Neodiprion lecontei: one gene and its partner. The protein of the gene in region 1 purifies or fractionates together with the protein of each later gene. This does not show direct contact. Links are inferred from orthologs where the notes say so. Each region holds a gene or a part of one and is shown in the gene's direction. Other genes may lie near its edges.

Region 1 (11,222 bases):
TAGAGATGCGGTGAAACAGCTTCATGAATCAAATCCTTAAAACGTGCGTTGAAACGATGGACGATGCGCGTTACTCATCGCCTGGCCGGAAGAGAAAATCATCTACTTTCCAACGGTGAAACGGTCTCTAGCAAAGTATCGTCACGTACGCAATAACTTGTTGAGACTGCAGATTTAGGTTTTCTAAGCGAATTCCAACGTGCCCGATTGTCGAGGTCGAACCATACGATGACTCGATGCCAGTCAGAATAAATCAGAAATGATTCGCGTTGTTGCTATTCGGAATCAACCATGAGGTTGTGGTCTGAAAATGCTGTTCTTCATCAAACCGCGGACGTGATTCTGCAAACTTAACTGTGTATCCTTCTTTTATATGCACATTCGCTTTGAATACATTTTCCTCTTTTGCTCTCTTCTCAAAGAGAGCCCGCAGAAAGTTTGGTGAATCACTTAGAAAACATATATACTGACAACCTTCGTGCCGTTCTCAGGAAGAATTGGGTGTTCCCGATGTAACCGAACTTACGCGTTATTCCTAGTAGATAAACGCCGCTAAGTTGTAAACGATGAAAGGGGTATGTCCGGTATTTTTTTTTAATCACTTTCGAAGGTACTTCGTTGAACGCTGTGTGCGGATATTCGGGAATTCCCAACGTAAAGTCTGAAAGAGGGTTACGCCCAGGAATTGACTTTGACAAATGGGGTAAATGTAAATTCAGTCGTACTTTAATAATGATTCTTGGAGGGGCTTAGTTTTGGAGAGTCAATTAAAAAAAATCTAAACTTCCGTCTCTTTGAAACTCGTGTTAGTTTGTTAATCATCGGCAGTGAATTAAAGTCATACAGAAACGAAGGACGGTTTTTTGTTGAAAACAATAAATCGGAGACCCTAGAAATAGTCATCAAAGCAACACTAAATGCCTTTCACAAAGATTGAACCTTAATTCGCATTACGGTTCTTTATTTTTGTTAACATTCCGAAAGTATATTACGTCTGTCAGAAAACAATCAGGGTGAAACGTGACGGCATCCGTGTTTTCCCAACTTGTCAAAGTTATCTCATACTGGTCCGTTTAAATCATTCTTCGATAGTATCCACTTAACGAGTTCTTCATTAATTCATTCCCGGAACCAAGACTGGAAAGTTCGATAACGCTTAAGTGATCCCAGTTAAGGAGCCGTCCATAAACTATGTCACCACTTTTCAACTTATTTAGACAACCCTAGATTTTAATCCGACCCCCTAAAGTAACGTTACGTTTTCGACGCAAGTTTTATTTTCAAATTCAAATAACATCAATAATAAAACCTTGTCAGAAAAATTAAAATTTCTCATTTTCGAAAGGTAACGTTACTTCGGAGGTCCCCCCCCCACAAACCGGTAACTTAATTTGTGGATCACTTTCAGCCGTCAATTTTTTTCGGATCCAACAAGTCTGCCTCTGTTTCTCTCTCTGCACACTAAGCGATTTCCACGAAGCGTTTATCCATATGGATGGGAATAAAAGTTGTCTCAGATTGTTCTGGCATAGATGAACCGAAAACTGGTATTCGCCGGATCAACTTAGCGCCGCAGCACACATCAGGGTATATTCGCGAAGGCAGTGCGAGGGGTATATATATTTCCATCTCATAGAGACACGTCGCAGACGTTCGCCAGCGGTCTTTTATCACTGTTTGCTCTTTTTTGGGGAAGTTTGCTCTACTCCTCATTCTCTACTTTAGGCTTTGCCGGATTAGTCACGTGGATAAGGTGCCGTACCTACAAGTCCCCGGTATGTATATTTGGCCGAAGTCCCAGCGTGCCTTGGAGGATGCGTGTGCATCCTCCATCTCGACGTCTGGGAAGAACGTCTTTCCCCTGCACGCTTTATCTCTACGTGCTTATTGTATTTATATCCGTACGGTTGTACAAGCACACGGTTTTTCGTTGCCTATAAATACCTGCCACCGTTTTATTTGCTCCAAATGCCTACGCGTGCAGTAGACCGAGTTTAACTTGACGTTACGCATGAGGTCCGAACTCCAGACCCCTGCGTCATCGTCTGATCCCGGATTTTTATCAAAATCCGGAATTTCGTCTAATGAAATTATTCGGATACTGACTTGCATTAGGTACTGTTCGTGAAACCGGTATGACAACGATGCTCCGACAACAAGCGCACCGGAACTTGATGCGAAAATTTGGCAAGTATCGAGATCCTGGTTGAGCTACGTACATGGGAATATGGATGACTGGATGTGAGGCAATTTCAAAAAGAATGTCAAAAGTAAAGCCCGCTGATGGTGCATTTGTACCGACATTGCGGTCGTACGACCTTTCGCGTATTACGCAACACGAATAATGCGAGCGAACACGGCAAAACCGTTCCGAGAAACTCATGAATAATTAGAATTATTGATGCTGTAAGTTTTATGCCTTCAACGTCTCGCGTTAACTGGGTAATATAATTTTTAACGCTTGTAACGACGGGTCTTTACGGCCTATGAGGAAACAGTGGATGATGTATAATTAATCGCACTCGTCAATATGATACGAAACTTTCTTCTTATCAACTTCAGATCTCGACAACATCCGCAGTGCAGCGTTCAATTACCTTGCCCGCACAACAACGAAAGGTATAAAAATAAATGGAAAAAGAAGCTTCTGGCAATGAACCCTGCGGCCTGCGAGTAGATGATACGCGTATAATTCGAAGCAGATTTACCGCCGGAGAGATCGAAGACGCGTACCTTTATTATACAGCCATTGTAATTTATACACCTTTCTTTCCGCAGTTCTCGATCACGAGCTTGCGGCTGCGGCTTTTCGCTTCGCGAGGCTCTCTAGAATCGCAGCCAGCGCGTTCGTTGTACACGGTTCGAGGTTCCATTCGGTGGGACTGGGATTCCCCAGTAGCCCCTGGGAATTCCAACGCAGGCGCGTTGAAAATGCCGCATCTAGAACTGACGATGAGTTGGACAGTACGGTATACGTGTAAAACCAGTTTCAACGATACAGGCGGCTGACAAAAAGTTCTTATGCGTATACCGGCCGTAAAAGGAGAAATCATTGGGTCGAGAGAGGGCCTAGATCGCGGATATCGCGATCAGCTGATCGATTAACGCATGCACAACATCCTACGAATCCGGCGACTGACCAAGTAAATTTCTGTTTAAAATTTATCCCCTCCTATTTGACCGCAAAATATCGAGGGACCACGGATTGCGGTTCTGGTATAATATCTCCGATGCAGACTATTCGGCTGTTAGCGCGCCATTGCTATGTGGAGCAATTCGGTCAGTGGGGAATTAAGCTGACGTGCTTCAGGGCGATAATCGAGTGATCAGGAATTTTTACCGATAATAGAAGCCGGCGACGTCGCATGTTTTGCTTGTCACGTATATGTAACGTATTATAGTACAGACCTACCCACGAAGTAGGTGCATGAGGAAATAGTTTGAATTGGGTATAAGGTATAGAGCGAGTATAAAACCGGCGAGTGATTGCGCGTAAATCGAGAGACGGGAATTTATTACATCATTTCCAAAAATGGAGGTGCTTTTGTTTTCGGCGTGAGGCGCTTACGGTCAGCAGATGCATTCTGCTTGCCTTTCATAACATACGTAACTTTTAATACAATAACAAAGCGGAAAAACCGCACAACACGTTGGAGTTTTCGATGACGAAATGCGTTAGACGGTTCCACGTTTCCGTGAATTTCTCCTCGCATCTGTAATATATTTATTGTAACTCTTCACGTGTCTCCGGTAAACTATTTTCACTTTCGCGTATGACGCGCGATAACGCCGTGAAAGACGAGTGTGTCGGTGCATACATGAGGCATCTGCCGAAATTATATGCACAGAGCCGTTCTCGACGTTAATAAATACGACGAGCTTAACGCTAAAGAATTACAATATACTTTCTCACCGCGGTACGGAATAACATCCGGTCAATTATAATTATAGCTCTGTAATGCGCGAAAATAAACGGGCCTTCGTGTTTGTACGAAATTAGCATGAACCGTTGGAGGGTCGAAAGCTGATATACCTGAATATGTTAGAGTAATTTATCGGCAGACATGAAATATGGATACATGAAAGTTGCGCAAATGACCCGATGACAAATACTTTTTGACAACATTGAAGTCCAGCATTGTGTCATCGGAATGAGTACAAGAATTTTGTAGGGATACCATCAGTGAACGTTACTTCTGTCATTGCGTACAGGATGTTTCTGGAAATTCTTGTGAGTTTTTCCTTTAGGTGTATCGGTATGAAGACAGAGGTGGGGCTAAAATGTAGACGGACTAGAAAATAGAAAGGTCGCAATACCGAATTTGTAAGAAGCTGAAAATTTGTTTCACAGAATTTTAACCAGTAGAAAGTTGAAATATAGTAAAGTCAAAACGTGAAAAGGTTTAAAGTATGGGAAACCAATACATGGAATCCTGACACTTCTAGATTTGAAACTCTACGAAATAAATGTTGATATTTTTCAAAATTCGCTGTTGTGACTCTTCCATTTTCTGATATTTCTCTCGATTTTTACCCCCACTCTATTATCTGTAATTCCTCCACGTCTTAAATTGTCCTCACAATTATTAGACAGAGGCAAACTGTATATATAATTTGTACGGGAAAACTGTGATACACACCATGGTACCTCGGAAAATATACAGCCACGAAAGAAAGGTAGCGATTGATTTACAGTCAATCGTGACCTGACATACGAGCTGAATAAATCTAGTTACAAATTCAGATGGCACAGCACTGCCTGAACGGTGAGAGGGATTAATACGTTTAGTTCACATTTTATTTTTGACCTGACGTAACATTTCGTGACAAGTCAAACGGTAAACCGTACATCAGAAATCATTAACGAATAACAACAACACATTCCAATCTGATTATTTCTCTCCTGAACGCGAGAATTTTTTTTTTTTTTTTTTGGACGTATACAATCATTTTAAGACATCTTAGAGATTAGATATGAAAATCTGTTTGAAATGATAGAATAATCCTTTTTTAATCATAGTCTGTTTATTTTTCAGAATTGGCATGAGAATGAGAGAACTGCAATGAAACTTTTTTAAATCACGCGCGTCAGGGACATCAGTCGGTACTGTTATTTGCGGTCGGTAAGACTGCTCCACCGAGGATCGCGTGAACGATGGTAACCCGCGCAATAATGGCTACCGAGTGCTCTACTCAAGGATGTGCTAAATCATCGCTATTTTGCGCATGTTCTGGTTCGTTCGATGGGCGCACGGCGCCAGCGGCGGTCCTCGTATGCCAAACAAGAATACTTCCAGAGCTTTCTGCCTAAATCGTCGAAGCATTCGAAGCGGCGCACAGGGAAAGAGTCAGACAGTTTTGATCGACGCGAGCGAACCTTAAGCGCACGGAAGTCACCGGCGTAATGGAAAAGGTAAAGTAAATAATTACGAGCGTAATTAATTTCCCAAAATTGCACAATCCGATCATTCGTAAATGTTTTCAAGGATACCTCTTCATTTTTCGCCGTAATTTCTCCGACGCACAAGATATATAACTACGCTCTCCGTCCTCACGATGCACGCGTTCGGGCTACGTCGTCGACCGTTGAAGCTCACGCGGCTTTGCAATCATTCCATTGTTACAAACGTTTTGTTTATTCCGTAATTTGTTTATCCGTTCCTTTGTCGATCGGCTAAATAGTCATTCACGTTGTCGCTGCGAATAAATTTATCCAAAAGCTCTCCGTTTTCCCGTATTTTTGCGACTGTTATTTGATAAAACGGTGATAGCATGACCATTACCGTGGTAAAAATGCTACTCCTACGTCAGTTTTGAACAACATTTTGTATTTTTTTCACTCCTGACAATAACCTCTGCAATGTTTGATTATCGCTCTAGGTGTCAGCACTGAAAGACAAAGGCAACGCCGCGCTGCAAGAAGGTAAATATGATGAAGCGGTCAAGTATTACACTGAGGCAATCGCCTTGGACGGTAGCAACCACGTATTGTATAGCAACAGATCGGCTGCTTATGCCAAAGCTGAAAAGTACGAGCAGGCGCTAGACGATGCTGCGAAAACAGTAGAGCTAAAGCCTGACTGGGTTAAGGGCTACTCCAGAAAGGGTAGCGCCCTCGCGTACCTCGGTAGATTGGACGAATCGATAAAGGCTTACGAAGAGGGTCTCAAATTAGACCCTGATAATCAGCAGTTGAGGGAGGGCTTGTCCGAAGTGCAGGCGCAGAGGAGTGACGCAAATCCCTTCAACGCCCCAGATATTTTCGTAAAATTGCGCAGCGATCCAAGGACTAGAGCGTACCTCGATGACCCCGAGTATGTCAAACTGATCCAGGAGCTCAGAAGTAACCCCAGGGTTCTAGGCGCTAGGTTGCAAGATAATCGAGTACTTACGACTTTGAGCGTACTTCTTGGACTGAATCCTGGAGACATGGACGAGCCTATGGATGTCGACCCTCCAAAGCCTACGAGAGAGACTTCGCAGCCTACACAGGAAGCAAAACCCGAGAAAAAAGAGGATGAGAATCTTCCTGAAGAGAAGAAGGCAGCCAAACGAGAAAAAGAGTTGGGAAACGAAGCATATAAGAAGAAAAACTTCGAGGCCGCCTTGGAACATTATAATAAAGCCATCGAGCTTGACCCTACGGATATTACGTATCGAAACAATGTCGCAGCAGTTTACTTTGAGCAAAAAGAGTACCAAAAATGTATAGAACAATGCGAACAGGCCATTGAAGTTGGTCGGGAAAATAGGGCGGATTTTAAACTTATAGCGAAGGCGTTCACTCGAATTGGGAATGCCTATAAGAAATTAGAGAATTGGAAACAAGCTAAAGTTTATTACGAAAAATCTATGTCCGAGCACAGAACACCCGAGATTAAAACCCTCCTGTCCGATATCGATAAGAAAATTAAGGAGCAGGAGAGAAAAGCTTATATTGACCCGATCAAAGCTGAGGAAGAAAAAGAACTTGGCAACCAAAAGTTTAAGGACGGAGATTACGTTGGAGCAGTAAAACACTACTCAGAAGCCATTTTGAGAAACCCTGATGAGCCAAAATATTACAGTAACAGAGCAGCCTGTTATACTAAACTTGTAGCTTTTGACTTGGGGCTAAAAGACTGTGAGAAGTGCGTAGAAATTGACCCAAAATTCATCAAGGGATGGATAAGAAAGGGTAAAATCCTCCAAGGAATGCAGCAGCAAGGAAAAGCTCTGTCCGCTTATCAGAAAGCATTAGAAATAGACCCATCCAATAGCGAAGCGCTTGATGGCTACCGGTCCTGTACCGTCGCTGTTAGCTCCAATCCCGAGGAAGTCAGAAAGAGAGCCATGGCTGACCCGGAGGTTCAGAACATCCTCAGAGATCCTGCGATGCGTTTGATTCTTGAGCAAATGCAGAGCGATCCAAAAGCACTCCAAGAGTAAGTTTATTGTTATTTGCATAACCCATAGTTAATGATCTCAATTAATCTGGTTCAGAAAAGATGAATGTAGTGTAGAATCACGCTTCTTTCGATGACAGCTATACACCTTGCTGAAGGTATACCATAGTACAAAATTCTCATGCGTAATTCTGTGATAATTTAGTTCATTTTAGTAATTCTTTCTTTAATCCTTTGCAGCCATCTGAAAAATCCTGACATTGCGGCAAAAATACAAAAGCTTCTTGAATCCGGACTTGTAGCAATACATTGAAAAAGACAGGGGAATGGAACAGCCAACAATATCTATAAGAATTTACCAGCTGTACCCGCCTTAGAAGATAACAACGTAATACAATATAACATTCTATCATCGCTGTGTTCCTTCATTACGATGAAGACGGCTTTACATTTAGTTAATGATACGTTAATTTTACAATTTTTATCGTATTCTACATACAATTGGGTGAATGAGGTTTTCGACTCCAGCGAGTGCTTGCCTTTGCTGTTTTGTCTATTATATTGTATTGTGATGCGATTTGCTAGTCAAATCGGTCAAATACCTTTTCTCGATTTTTCAGAAAAATCTGCAAATACGAATTACGAATTTCCCAATGTCTGAAATTGGGCAAGTTTTTTGTATCGGTAAATAATTGAGCTAAAAGGAATAATAAATATTGTCGCATTGTACTTTACTACGAATAGTTTTATTTACTATATTGCTAAATTCGTTCCAAAGTTTACATATTTCCGTGTATAAATTATGTACCCCAAGATGGTACCATGCTGTCTATAAATTGTAATTTTACTTATCTCTTTCAAGTATTCCTGTATTTATTTTATTATTCTTTTCAACCTCGTTGCATAATTTTTCGTCTTCTCCACGTAAACTCGCAAGTGGTAGACTTTTTATATGTTGATGGGTATGCATACAAGCAATCTATCGGGTGACGACTAACCAAATGATGAGTAAGGATATTACAGGAAAGAGAAAAGGAAAAAATAAATAAATACTAATTATGTGAAAAACGGAAAATATACTATGAAATAGTTCATAACGTATCTAATAATAAAAATAAGACAAAAAAATTTTAATTTACTAGCCCATGAAGGCAAGTTCTGTAACGCATACGCTACATTTGGCATTAACATCCGATTCCTCCATCACCTGAATACATGTTGCGAGGGGAGACAAAAAGTGTCGTGTTTCAAGATAATCGAGGAATCAGGTGTAAATACCAGGTGATCTTTCCAAATTTTAACATGAAACTTCAACAGGAAAAGCCATCATATTCATCGTCGTACGTAGCCATTTTTTTTTTTTTTTTTTTTTAGGCAAATATTGATTGCGATACTTTATCTTGAATTGTGCTGAAAAGTAAAGTACAACCGCTTATTATTTATTCCAATAAAGATAATAAATATAAATACATAATGTAAACATACTACATGCATATATAACAACATTATCTATATCTATTGATAATTAAAATATTGTATACACATATTTGTTCTTATTATGCCTCTGATCTTGTAAATGCGTTGCATTGTGTTGTCAAAATATAGCATAGGCAAAAATAGCATGCAATTGCCAAAAATAAATGCAGAAATTGCGTTCTCTTTGCAGAGTTGATCTTACGGTATGACGTCCCATTTCGGAGTTTCGGGGGACTCCGTTAGTGCAGCAAGGCGAGCGATAAGGCCCTGAATACCTTATCATCATCTTTACATACATGCCCTACCAATTGGAATCATCCTGAAACGCCGTCGATGAATTTACAAAACAAGGTCAGCCCGACCGAGATAAAACAGTGGTTTCTTGCATGCCTAAAACGTGCGGAAACGTTTTGCGAGCATGGCAATTTCCTCTTCGACTCAAAATATCAGTCCTTGACCGAAGGCTATCAAAGACGGTTACCCTAATGGGGTATTCGTGCGATGATGGGATTGCGTGTTGAACGCCTCCCGCCGATAAAGAAGCTACCGTATCGTTTTAAACACGGCTTCTCAACGCCTCAGGCCCACTTACCTGCCGATCAATGGTCACGAAAATATGCCCCTGGGATAACAGTCTAAGTTTTTTCGTCAACCTCGTAATTATCAGCGACGTTGAACACCCAGAGAATGCCTACATAAATCAATCGAACCAGTCAATCAGTTTCCCGTTTCACAACGGAGTCGCCAGACATCGTCGAGATCCGCGAACGACTAGCTGCTGCAGCTGCTGCAGTAGCTGCAGTAGCTGAATGCGGTTTGCGGGGAGGGTCTGAAGCAAGCGCAACCCGTGCGGATATTCGATTAGCCAGAGAAGAGCCGAATGAGATGTGAAAAGGGGGGATTCGATCGCGTTGTAATGAGAATTGGTGCGAGCGCGGCGCACACGCGATTGTCGAGTGACGTGCGTCGGCGGTGCGCGCGTGTCGTCGACCGTTGGGTTAGTGGTTGGGATCGCCTCTGTTCTCGGTCACCGGGGGCGCCGGTAGCTCTGGCTATGGCTCTGCCTGTTTGAGCCTTCGAGCAGCGGCGGCGGCAGCATCAGCAGGCAGTCGAGGCAGTGACGCGCGTCGCCCGTAAACACGGCCGCCATAATGCTATGCGACATCATGGACGGTGGTGTGTAAACATTAGTGACAAATAACGTGCTCAAAAATGTGAATCGTTTCCCGAACTTCCGTTTCAGCAACGCGGGTGTTTAATCGTGCGTGTCGGCCAGTACTCCACAGCGCGCACCAGTCTCGCCGAACTCGGCCAGCAATTACGACCGTCGTCTTGCTCGATACCGCGGGTTAATCTTGTGCTTGTGCCCCTCGCGAGCCTGCTAGCCTCGCGAGGAGTAGTCGGTTCGTTCCTTCGACCGAGAGAGCCTAGCGCCGTCCACTGCATGCATGCCCACATTGGCGTGGGGCAGCGGCGACTGATTTCACACAATATCGGCCAGTCTGACGGACGGGGAGCGAATTCCGCCGATAGCCGAGGCGCATCGTATCGCCTACCTGCCTCGCTCGATCCGCACGAGAGTTTAGATCGATTCCGGGGGATTATCGAGCCTGCGTCGATCCTCGTTACGAAATACACGCATATACACGAAGTGAGTGATTTTATTCCCCGGCGTTGTTTTGTTTCGCATCCTTCTTTTTTCTATTTTTTTGTTTGATTCTTCTCATTTCAATATTACTTTACCTTCGCCGCAACTTACTTAACTTTGCGTTTACTTTTGCAATTTTTCTCACTATTCGCTTCTTCTTACATTCTTCTTCTTTTTATTTTCAATCGCCCTTAAAGCAGGGGATCGTCGGATCCTGAGGAGAACGTTGGGAGATTTACGCTACGAGTAACCGCCAACAAACAACAAACGCTCGCCGCACGCACTCTGACTCGTTGCAATTGACAGTGACGTATCTTTACTCGAGGTGCTTCTCGGAACCCCGTCCTTTCGCCAACTTAATCGTCGAAGGAGAAAAACCAGCAACTCGCATTCGCGGAGAGAACGTGAGTAAATGTTACATGTCACGAATTGCCACACAACTCGATTCATTCATACATTCATTCTCTTACGTAGAATATTCCACAGGGTTGTCGTTGTTGTTGTTGTTTTTTTTATCTTTTTTTTCTTTCTTTCTCCGTCGAAGTGTAAATTTATTTCAATTTTTCGTCCCAACAAGTTTCTAAGTGCTATCACTTTCACCCTGCAACGTATATAATATGTATCCGAACAATGAAACGATGCAAATTACATTGGTATACATCTCGAAACTAATTACCGATTTCCGAATGCTAAGAACAAATATCCACGTCCCT
Region 2 (10,491 bases), on another chromosome or scaffold:
AACAACGTTGGACAGTAACCAAGAATTGATCAAACTGACGATTCAGTTACGGATATTCGATCAGTACGGTCCAATTCATGCCTGAGATGAATGAATGTACTATAAATATCATTAAGAATGTTATTCCTGTTCATGATCACAGAGCGATGAAACTGTCGGAGAGTTAAATCAATTATTGAACGGAAAATATTTTATTATAATATTTAAAATATCACAAAATCGAAAAAATAAGATTGGTTAATGTAGTACACACATTCCATGCTGTAAGATTCATTGAGCGATATATATTATGTAATATAATATAGTTGATAAACATATTTTAATATATAATTCCGAGAAAAAAAATATCATTCTTTGAAGCAATTTACGATTAGCGTCCTTTCGCCAGTTTAATTTATAACGGATGAAAGATCATCAGACATTTTAGAAACTGTTCGTGTAAGTTCAGTTATCGTGGAAGCTTAAAACATATACTATAGGAGGTAGCCACGCATGTACAATAAGTGTGGCGGAGGGGTAAGGGAGAGAGATGCCATTATATCCTGTTTCTCTCGCTCTGTACCGGATTCGTCGATACGTTTCCTCTCAGCCATTCGAATGCAAAGTGAGAGAGACGGAGTATTCCTAGTATATATCTCCTCTCATCACTTCGGTTTCAGTTTTCGCTAGTTTGACGCAGCCCCCTGAAACACGCTGCTAAAAGTGGTTCGCAAGATGTCCCTCGATTCTGCCGCCAATTTCCACTACTAGTAGCGCTAGTAGTTACCTGACGAGCTTGCACGCGGTCAGCAAGGGCAGCGAGCGTGTCAGAAGTCAACTAGCGCCGGGTAGAGGAACTAAAAAACTGGGACAAAACGCGTACAATTTTTTAGTATACGAGCAGTGGTGAGTGTCCACTTGAGTGTCAGGGGGCTGGGTTGACGGCATGGGTGGCAGCTACCTACAGTAATATCTGAGGATGAAAGTCTCCAAACGCTGCGTAATAGTTAGACAGAGTTCGATAAGTCAAGCATTTTCGATCTTAAGAAGTCTACTATCTTGTTGGGCAGGTAGTCAATGACGGTGTCATGGAGACTAGAGGTAAGGATCCGAACGCAATGCTAGCAAAATGACTGTGAAAGTGATGAACGATCCGCAGGATGTACCTGACTGGCAGCGCTACCACTGCGGGCTCCGTCAGCGCGGTGATCATGAAGCCTAGAGTAAAGGAGCCCGAACGCCTATAGGAAAAGTATTGTTACAAAGGGTGAAATCACCCGTTTTGCTCACTTTTAATGATCTAGTAGTCATCATAGATAAAAGACGTTTATAAACCTCTTATGTCTTTAAAAAGAATAAGGTTGCTGCGTCAACCAACATTATTGTAAAAACAGTCTTGTTTCAGATTTAAAACCAGAAACACGTACCCTGCAATTAAAGCTTTTACATGACATGTATTTACGCCTTTGATTTTGGCTTGATAATCAAACTCACGAAACCATATTTATTTCCGTAACGTCCAAGAACGTTACAGTATTATAAACGTAGACCCTGAAAGTGGTGAAAATTTGGGTTCGAAATGCAGCCACGGGAAACGCTAGTGCTGCGAAGATAGGAGATGGGTTTGCGTATATACGACCGTGATTTACACGTCATTCTTGGCTTTTCGTCTTTGCACGTATAAACGAGTTTTGCAAAGATTTTCTTATTGTGATAAAAATCAGCGTCTTAAGGTGTAGTGAGTGATTGCCCCACATTATGTCTAAGCAGGTGAGAAAATGGTATTTTTTTTAAATACATATGCTATTTTCAATACTTTATTAAATTGTAATTTACGGATTGAATAAAACGAGCATGAAAGTGAGGTTAAAATTCATATATTGTCATGTGTAATCACAAATTTTATTTTGAGTTTATTTCTGGTAGCAGAGTGCACAATGGGGAAATATTGTTCTTACCCAGGCTGCTGAACTGGGAGAGATGCCAGCAGAGCAAACTGCAAGCGCTTAGGACGACGGCAGCACAATGATAGCATAAGAAGACGCATCGCCAGTATTCTCGTACAGATGGCCTCGCTGCACAAGACAATATTTCCACCAGGCAGAACGAACGCTCAGTATTACGAGGAGCTCGAGGCCGAACAAAAGCTGTTCAATAAGATGGGCGAGTTTCTTGTCGATCACCGATGGTCGAAGGGATGTTTTCGAGAGCAGCACGTCGCAGGTGTTCAAGAGCTCGACCGATCGGAATGTCGTCTCGAGCGGTATACCGAGTGTGTGGAAATCGACTGATCATCTGTGCATCCTGTGATGCAACCAATTGGTCCAGATGAACCTTCGCGCGCTTTTTGACTGTGTGGATATGAAAACTCGTCCGCCTAATATAACTTACGACTCAGAACGGAAAATTCGTGCCCATGATTGTTATTTCCGAAGCGTAAGTTGATCGTTGAGAATTTTTGGAGATTCTTTACAAGCTTGTACAATCGTAACGTGATGTTACAATATTTCCAGCGTACATTCGAAAAAAAGTCTTCCATACGAGGACAAGACGAAATTCGAGCCCGGAAGCGAATGGATCAAAGACATCATTAGACAATACATTTGGAGTCGGAAAGCCGTTTTTCAATTAGAACATATCACTGATTGAATTTGGTTTCATAGATTTTTTCAAAAAATTGTCACTCGAGAACGGGATGGAAAAGAAAAATGTAAAAAAATATGGTAGCCTTTACTAATATGAGTGAACGGCATACAAAATTTCGAGTCGAATCGAAAAGGGTGAGGGTCGGAGCCTGGTCGAATTCGGGTGGAATGCTCCATATAAATTATTCACTGAGAAACCATTAGTTTCATCGTGTTGAGTAGAAGAACAATTGAGTTCGTCGGGCCATCCGGAGCTGGACAATTCATGATAATGCGGTAATTGTCGAGGGTCTGCGATGAAAATTTCGCTCTTGGATGAACTTCGATTTAGGTGAAAATCGATTTATTTACACCAGTCCGCAGTTTATCGCATTGTTAATATTATTTATTGTTAAAAAATGTTTGTTTTGTTGTTTGAAAATGTTTGTTTCCTATCTGTACGAAAAAACATTCCTATTGTGCAGTAAATAATAATTTTTTAATAAAATTGTTATGTTTTGTCGTTTAAAAATTTTTGTTTCCTATCTGTATGAAAAAGGACATTCCTATTGTACACTAAATAATAACTATTCGCACTTTTTGTTGTTGTTTTTTAATTCATTTGGATTTGACGCGTAGTGTATAAAAATAATTTTTAATAATAAATATTTCTAGGGTTTAGGTCAACTCGACTTTGAATTATGCCCAAAAATATTATCTAGTTAACAAATGCATGATGACAGAATTAATTGACAAACGAACAATTTACTGTTTTTCTCATCTGTTTACGTATAACTGCGCTACGAATATGAATATTCTCTTCTCTCTTTTTTCTCATTCCGTCTCTGTCATCCTCTCTTGGGTACAGCAGCGCCAGCGGGTATTTCAGTAAAAATTTTCACTGCTTTCGTAGCCCACGTCCGCAGTACAGCGTTCGGGGCTCCATGGCGGTGATTTTGAATTGTCGATCCTCACGTATGTATCCTATTCACGGTCTTACATACAGGTCTTGCGACTCAATAGAATTCCAATGGTAGAGAGTGGCTCCTCTGTTGAAGAAAAATCAGATGGAGCTGCGATCGAGGGATGCATCAACATAACCTACAATGTTTGAATAAGCCTTTGACACGTCTTATAATATGTAAATAAAATTTATGGGTTAGGATTCCACGCCCATGTGACGCGCGAGCGCGACTATCGTCATCCTTGTCGCACCGGGCATCCCTCGATCGCAGCGACGCTAGCGGCTTGACACGTTAAGAGGCCCACGTCGAAACTCAGAGTCGCAAGACCTGTATGTAAGACCGTGATCCTATTCGTAACCAGGCGCTGGTATCGCTTGCGGATACATCCCGAACTACAAAATCTTTCATCACTTTTACGGTCCACTTTTCGACGATTCCGCCCTATGCGTTCGGCCTCCTTACCTCTAGTCTCCATGGACGGTGTCGCCGACGTGTCGGCCATATTGAAGGCAACTGACGTTAATTGATAATAGATTTTCTCTTATTTCCCTTAGATTGAGCCAGTTACTTTTACTGGTGTCAACTCATTGCAAATGATGTAAAGCAGCTCTCAGAATCTATAAATCTCATCAATAAGGTTCGATCCGTGGTGTCTAGTCGGTGACAGCGTGGCAACTGTTCGTCTTCGGTGTTTCGCGATCGCGGGGCGCAGCGTTAAATCGTCCTTTCGCTCCCTGTCGGTTGTGTCGATGGATGTTTTCGTCGTCGGATTTCCAGTCGAATTTTGAATTACACGTTATTATCCGAGGCGCCTGTCAACTTGTGAGTAACATTATAGAATATTTCGTTCAATCCGACGAATTATAATCACGACTTACCTTCCAATATCTCGATAATATAGTTTTATTGTTCCTCGTCTTTATTACATCCGTATTGCAACAATGATGCCAATTGACAAGAGATGTTCAGCCAAACAACAGCAAGCGACGCACGACGGGATTGTATTTACTTGACAATTGTTCTTGTCGAGTATATAAACAACTAGGTTCTCTTCTTTCTATTAAAAAATTCGAACTTCTCGTAAAACTTGCGTCACAACTAACCTAAAAAATAGCGCAGAGATCTGATATTCATTCGTCATTTCAGTTTTGCTTCAATCAGTCATATCATTGTTTGCCTGCCCATTGCGAATTACAGTTGATGTGACCGCGGTGATTGAGATTACGTTCAATATCGATAATATATACTTTTTCAGCGTAATTAAAACCTGATTGAGCACGGGGTAGTTGCACAATCGGAATAATCAAATACGACTACTATCTGTCACGCCTGATTGATTGTAGTGTAGTGTAGACCAGTATTCCAGATAGGAAGATAAAACGGTTATGTCTTGCTATTTCTTTCATTTCGAAACAGGAATAACCTTGGCAGAAACGTAACCACCAATTCAATAAATATGCAATCGCGTTCAACGGGTTACGCAAGGTTTTTCACGTATTTCTAGTTCTTTTATTTATGCAACTTTTTCTCCCACCAGCTGGACTGCAGCCCGAATTGCTCACGTTATTTCGTGATTTAAAATCAAGCTCCTTCATAACCCATAAGAACAAGTGTTCCACGATTTTTGTATATTGCTGATGTAGACTTTACAAAATGTAGACTTAATGGTTGCTTACTTACTGATGTACACCAATTATGTACATCACGTCACGCGGTTTGTGAAAAATAATTAGCCAATGCTGTTCCTCATATTTATGCAAAGTTTCTCTCCGTTCAATATCGGTGGGGATTCAAAAATAGTCAAGTGACGAAGATGTTGGCTTATTACGTGACGTTTTGAAATAACAATCATGTGTTAAACGCGTCGTTTACGCTTAGGGGGGTGCCCTGGTCGGATTCGACGTTGACGTACCTATATATCTCCAAATATCATGCATTTCCATTCGTCGCAGAAATAAAGAAGTAGCATGAATTCAACGAATTTACCATTGCGATTTCATGGAATCCATGCCATTCCCGTATTTCTGCGTCAAATGAAAGTGGATTGGAGTGTTTTTGTTGAGAATTGTGTATAAAATTGGGACGTTATGCCCATTTTCACGTTTTAGGTACGTGGAGTTCGATATTTGCACGTACATACAACGTCGAAGTTGACTAGGGCACCCCCTTAAAGCAACCCCTAATACGAATAATACGTTTTCTACTTCGTTTTCATTATAGCATTTACATATTAAGCCGCACATAATTACTGTTTGCCCAATTATCGTCCGGTACCTGTACGCAATCCTTATTCGAATGAATGCGGCAATGTATATAAGAAGTACGGAGCAACGCTTCGAGTTTTGAATTCCTCGGTTATTGGTACGAAAAGTCGCGACGTTGGTCTCGAATAAATTCGCAACGTTAGTAGGCATATCATGCAATGTAGGTATATAATTACATGTATCAATGTAGGTACATGTATGTACCTAAACCGATGACACAATTTCGATATTTTTATACCCTATTTGTGTATAATTCGTTTCATCTACACCATTTCTATTAGCGTATGTATAAGCCTGCGTTTCGCGCTCTGCTCAAACTCAGAAGCCGTCGCATGACGCGTACGACGCACGTTGAATCTACGAGGAATCTATTTGACCTGAGTATTAAGCGTAGCCTGCGTGCGGATTATCTGTTATTCTCACATGACGCCGCAAATGCAAATTGATTTACGTAATACTCGCACTTTGACTCCGGACTAAACTCGCGAGACTCCAGGCTGATTGTCAATCGCGCGGTGGCAAAAAAACCGGGAGCCACGGGTTTGCCGCTTGCTTGTAGCGATAATATATCTATTTGCCAAAATAGCCAAGTTCCTCTCTGCAGCGGTTTTGGGCCTATCGGGATATTTTATTCTACGGATGTAATGCAGACACTGCACACGTTTGCCGAGGAGTTCTCCGAACGTAGACAAGTACTACTTAGTAGATATGATAGATCTGCTAAGTTTACATATTTCGTTTTCCGTCGTACACCTACTACAAAGAAACTCCGATCAATTAGCTAAGGGAATGCAGGAAGCCCATTATCTACTATTCTCTTCTACGCGTGAATTATCATCCTTAATGAATGAATAATGATTTAAACACGTTCCGACCTGGTTTATATGAAAATAAACTCTCATTCTTCAGTCGTGCGTTAGACATCTTTCGGTCCGCTCTTCGTTCGTTTGTGGTGGGTGGTGGGAAGCGAAAAAACAAAAAAATTATTATTTGCCGCCTGTTACACGTTTCCGCTATAAGTATACACGTTTTAAGGTAAAAAAAAACAAAAACTGCATAGCCGTAAATCGAATTAGAGAAACACATTTCCCTCCAATTCGTTTAAAATTTATGGGCCCCTTGGCCCAATATTTTAATATTTCTCGTCATTAGAGAGAGATTAAAAAAAAAAAAAAAAAACACTTGGTGCGTTTACGCCGTGCGACAGGAAGACGAGAGCCGAGTGATAGTGCAAATGTGGTCATAATGTCACAACGACGCCTCTTTCAGCAGACATAATTAGTCAAAGAATCATCGTAGTCATAGAATGTCCTTCGGCTATTGTTGTCGCGATGGTGTAAGTTATTTAAAAAATCAAATGTACGTTACTCGAAGAAAAACAAGCGAACATTTTCTCTCGCCTGTGAAGAACGAACGTACGAAACAGCGACGTGCAAGGCTCGTCATCAACCGTGACTATCACGTATTCATCACGGTTCGGTCACTCGTGTGTTAATGTCAAGCAGACGTCACGACCCCTCCATCAGCGAAACCATACACAGATAGTCGCCAATCGGGAATTGGTTTTCGTTTCCGAAGGAGGTTCTGTCCAAATATTGAAAACATCCTGTTCCTCGCAACTAAACATATAAAAAAATAATGATCGCACGACTATTTTTCCTCGCGGTGGCATAACTTTGTGAAAAATGGTCGTTATTTTTATCACGACTATTATCGCCGGCGGCCGCGAAGAATATTTTGAAATATGTTACGCTATTGTTGAGATAGGTCGTGACTAGATAATACATTTGTGTGCGTATGCGTGCGTGTGTGCGCGCATAACCGATTCTATAAGGCTTCACCTGCGGCTCTACTTGACTCGGCCTGTCCAATCGACTGGAAAATAACAGTTACAGTTTGAAATATTACGATAAGAATAACAGTTATACACGAAATTTCCTGCAGAAGTAAACATAAATAGGTTGATATTGTAATATCCGGAATATGAAGCTTCCGCGTTCGATACTTCGCGAATCCTTCACAGAATTGCTCACCGATTCTAATCCAACTTCTGCAACATTTACTCTATGACGACAACAAGTTTTACAGACCGCTGCATGAAGCTGAAACTAGCAGCCAAACGGTTAAACTTTTTGGAAATAGAAAAATGCAGTTCAGTCTTATCCTCGTAATTCTATAAAAGTATCGGAGGTTTAAGGTACTTCACTATCTTATTCAAATGAGCATTAGAACGTTTGGCCGCTAATTCTGGCTGGTAGTTTCAGTCTCGTGACCGCTGCTATCGATATAATGCAAATTGTGAAAATAGGTTACATCTAAGCCCTTGTGTAAATGCAAATTCTTTTCATTGCCCGGGTTTGTATGGCCAATGGCCACACGTAGGTATGTGTACACATAACGCACTTTTACAACCCCCCTCACATCAACTTCCAAAAAATGTACATGTAACACATACTACGGAGCGACGATGCGTTACGCAATGGACAAGGCGATTTGCAGTGTTAGCGACCGCCCCCTACGTAATGGTTAGAATATAACAAAATTGAAGTAGATAGGTATATGTGTACGCTATGCATATGAACTTGTCCGCCGGTGATAACAGTCCTGCCTACTTGTACACGCGTGGCCGTGGTGTGACTTTATCACCACGTGGTATAAACCTGCATATTTTATCGCGCTACTCCGCCTGATGTTCCCTCGTCAAATAATCGTTGCCGATTCAAGATATCGATACGAATTCGTATATTTCTATCGTATCCATGTGTGGTTAGAGAATATTTCTTGAAGCGACGCAGCTTATGCGTTATATTCACATTTTTAGGAGGGGGGGGGGGCTATCCGATAATAGATGTTGGTAACCGCAGGACGCAAAGCTCGCCCTCCTGCCCTTTCTGCAAATACGAAAATACTATACGAAAACTCTATTCTTCAATATCTATATGTAGTAAGAAGTATATACATATAGTATACAGTATAGTAAAAAGTTTTTAAGATTTTTTTCTCTTCCGATTATTATTTGCATTATTGGTATTTTTAAATGTCCGTAAAATTGTTCGAAATTCAATTAAATTCGTAGCGTTATACATACCTTATGTAGCAGTATTTAATTGTTATACAACTCGTTACATGACGTAAGCTTATCGTTAACCGTTTGAACGCTTATTTATCGAATATGTATAATATAGGTATCAACCGTAATTTCCCGTCCTACAATTGATTCAACGATGAGTCAACGACCTAATCTCCGTGCAATCATTTGTTTTGCACGCTTGTTTTTGCCACCGTCTCGCTATTTGCTAACGTTGCCGTGACATATTACACGGTAAATCCTACTAAAAATACATACAAGTCAAAACTAAATCTGCAACTTCCTTTTCATGAGCCGGTGACCTGGGTGCCTGGCCACGTGGCTTCGTTTCACGTTTCATTTAATAGTTAGTTCTCCCTTCCGAGATGGCTCGTTGGTCGTCATTTCCTACGACATACACATGTCATATTTCTTATACAAATACGGCCTAAACAACGTGTGTATTTCTATTAGTTTGTCCTTTCACTTCTCAACCTGTTTGTCGCTCTTCCGTTTATTACACGTATAATTTATACATATTATAAGTGTATTGTATTTTTTTTTTTAATACAATTCATACATATTATAAGTGTATTGTTCTCCTTGATAATGAAGAGCAAGTTTAGCAAGTTGAAACGCGGGGGCATTGCGAAGATCAGTTATGCATCCGTCGTGCGATATTAAACTTTTTTATATTCCGAAAAGAAAAAGAGAGAAGCAAAAGAGAGATCGGATGAGTGTGACGATTAGGATATGCAGAAAAATGTTGAAATCGTACGATCTGTGGCTTTTGCCATTTGATTATCGCAAGGACGTGGGGCAGCGATTCCCACACATACACATGCAGGCAGGCATACGTTATAATACACGTATAATGCACATTTATACATATGGGATCGCAGCACGTCGGAAACTTCAGTCTGCCGCGAGCAGTCGGCCGAGTAAACGATCTGTTCTGTCGTCACTTACTTCTAATTTTTTCAATTCATAATTACAATCAATTTCAAGTCAACACCGTGATACCTGTTAGAATAAGAAATCCATTTTGGCAGAGCACAAATATCACGAACCTTTACGCACCAGGTGAAAGACGTCCAAGTGTTCTACGTTTTGCAAAATCTTCATCCTCACAAACGGTAAAACTGTTTTCAGTGGATAAACGTTTCATTCGTATTATTCCCGCCTTTGCTTTCAACTGTATTTAACCGCCGTACGTATATGTTTTACCGACTGGTTGTAATTTTCTTTATCATTGTTACCTTCGATGTATTATTATTTCTTCGTCAAAAGTAGTTTTCGAGCTTTAAACTGTGGAAAGTTAAGCACCCTTGAGTTGAATCTCTCAAATTAAAATGTAATTTCGCAATCAACGTTTCGTCCGGTGCTTACATCATTACTTCTTCCTAGGTTGCGTTTTCTTATTTCTTTTTTTATTCAACTTTTCATGTACGCGCACACGTGAATTAGAATTCATTTAAATGACGACTTTTAGTCAAGGTTAGCCTCATTGACATAAGGTTCCCGCAAATTATCGGTAATGTATTCTCAACGTGACGCGGCCACGAGTGTCTCTTCACCTTTGATTTCTTTTG

Evidence for each region.
Region 2: the proteins of stress-induced-phosphoprotein 1 (region 1) and ATP-citrate synthase fractionate together in Homo sapiens (co-fractionation; 3 studies listed by BioGRID, with this or other methods). This does not show direct contact. The link is inferred for Neodiprion lecontei from reciprocal best matches to the Homo sapiens genes STIP1 and ACLY.

What each region holds. Positions count from the first base shown.
Region 1 is NC_060262.1:38,143,381-38,154,602, reverse strand, and holds stress-induced-phosphoprotein 1, read left to right. Parts: upstream 1-5,262; 5' UTR 5,263-5,404; coding exon 5,405-5,413; intron 5,414-5,880; coding exon 5,881-7,424; intron 7,425-7,625; coding exon 7,626-7,698; 3' UTR 7,699-8,119; downstream 8,120-11,222. UniProt on the Homo sapiens protein: Acts as a co-chaperone for HSP90AA1. Mediates the association of the molecular chaperones HSPA8/HSC70 and HSP90.
Region 2 is NC_060263.1:14,398,518-14,409,008, forward strand, and holds the start of ATP-citrate synthase, read left to right. Parts: upstream 1-4,251; 5' UTR 4,252-4,390; intron 4,391-4,446; exon of another isoform or gene 4,447-4,625; intron 4,626-5,130; exon of another isoform or gene 5,131-5,235; intron 5,236-9,817; exon of another isoform or gene 9,818-10,109; intron 10,110-10,491. UniProt on the Homo sapiens protein: Catalyzes the cleavage of citrate into oxaloacetate and acetyl-CoA, the latter serving as common substrate in multiple biochemical reactions in protein, carbohydrate and lipid metabolism.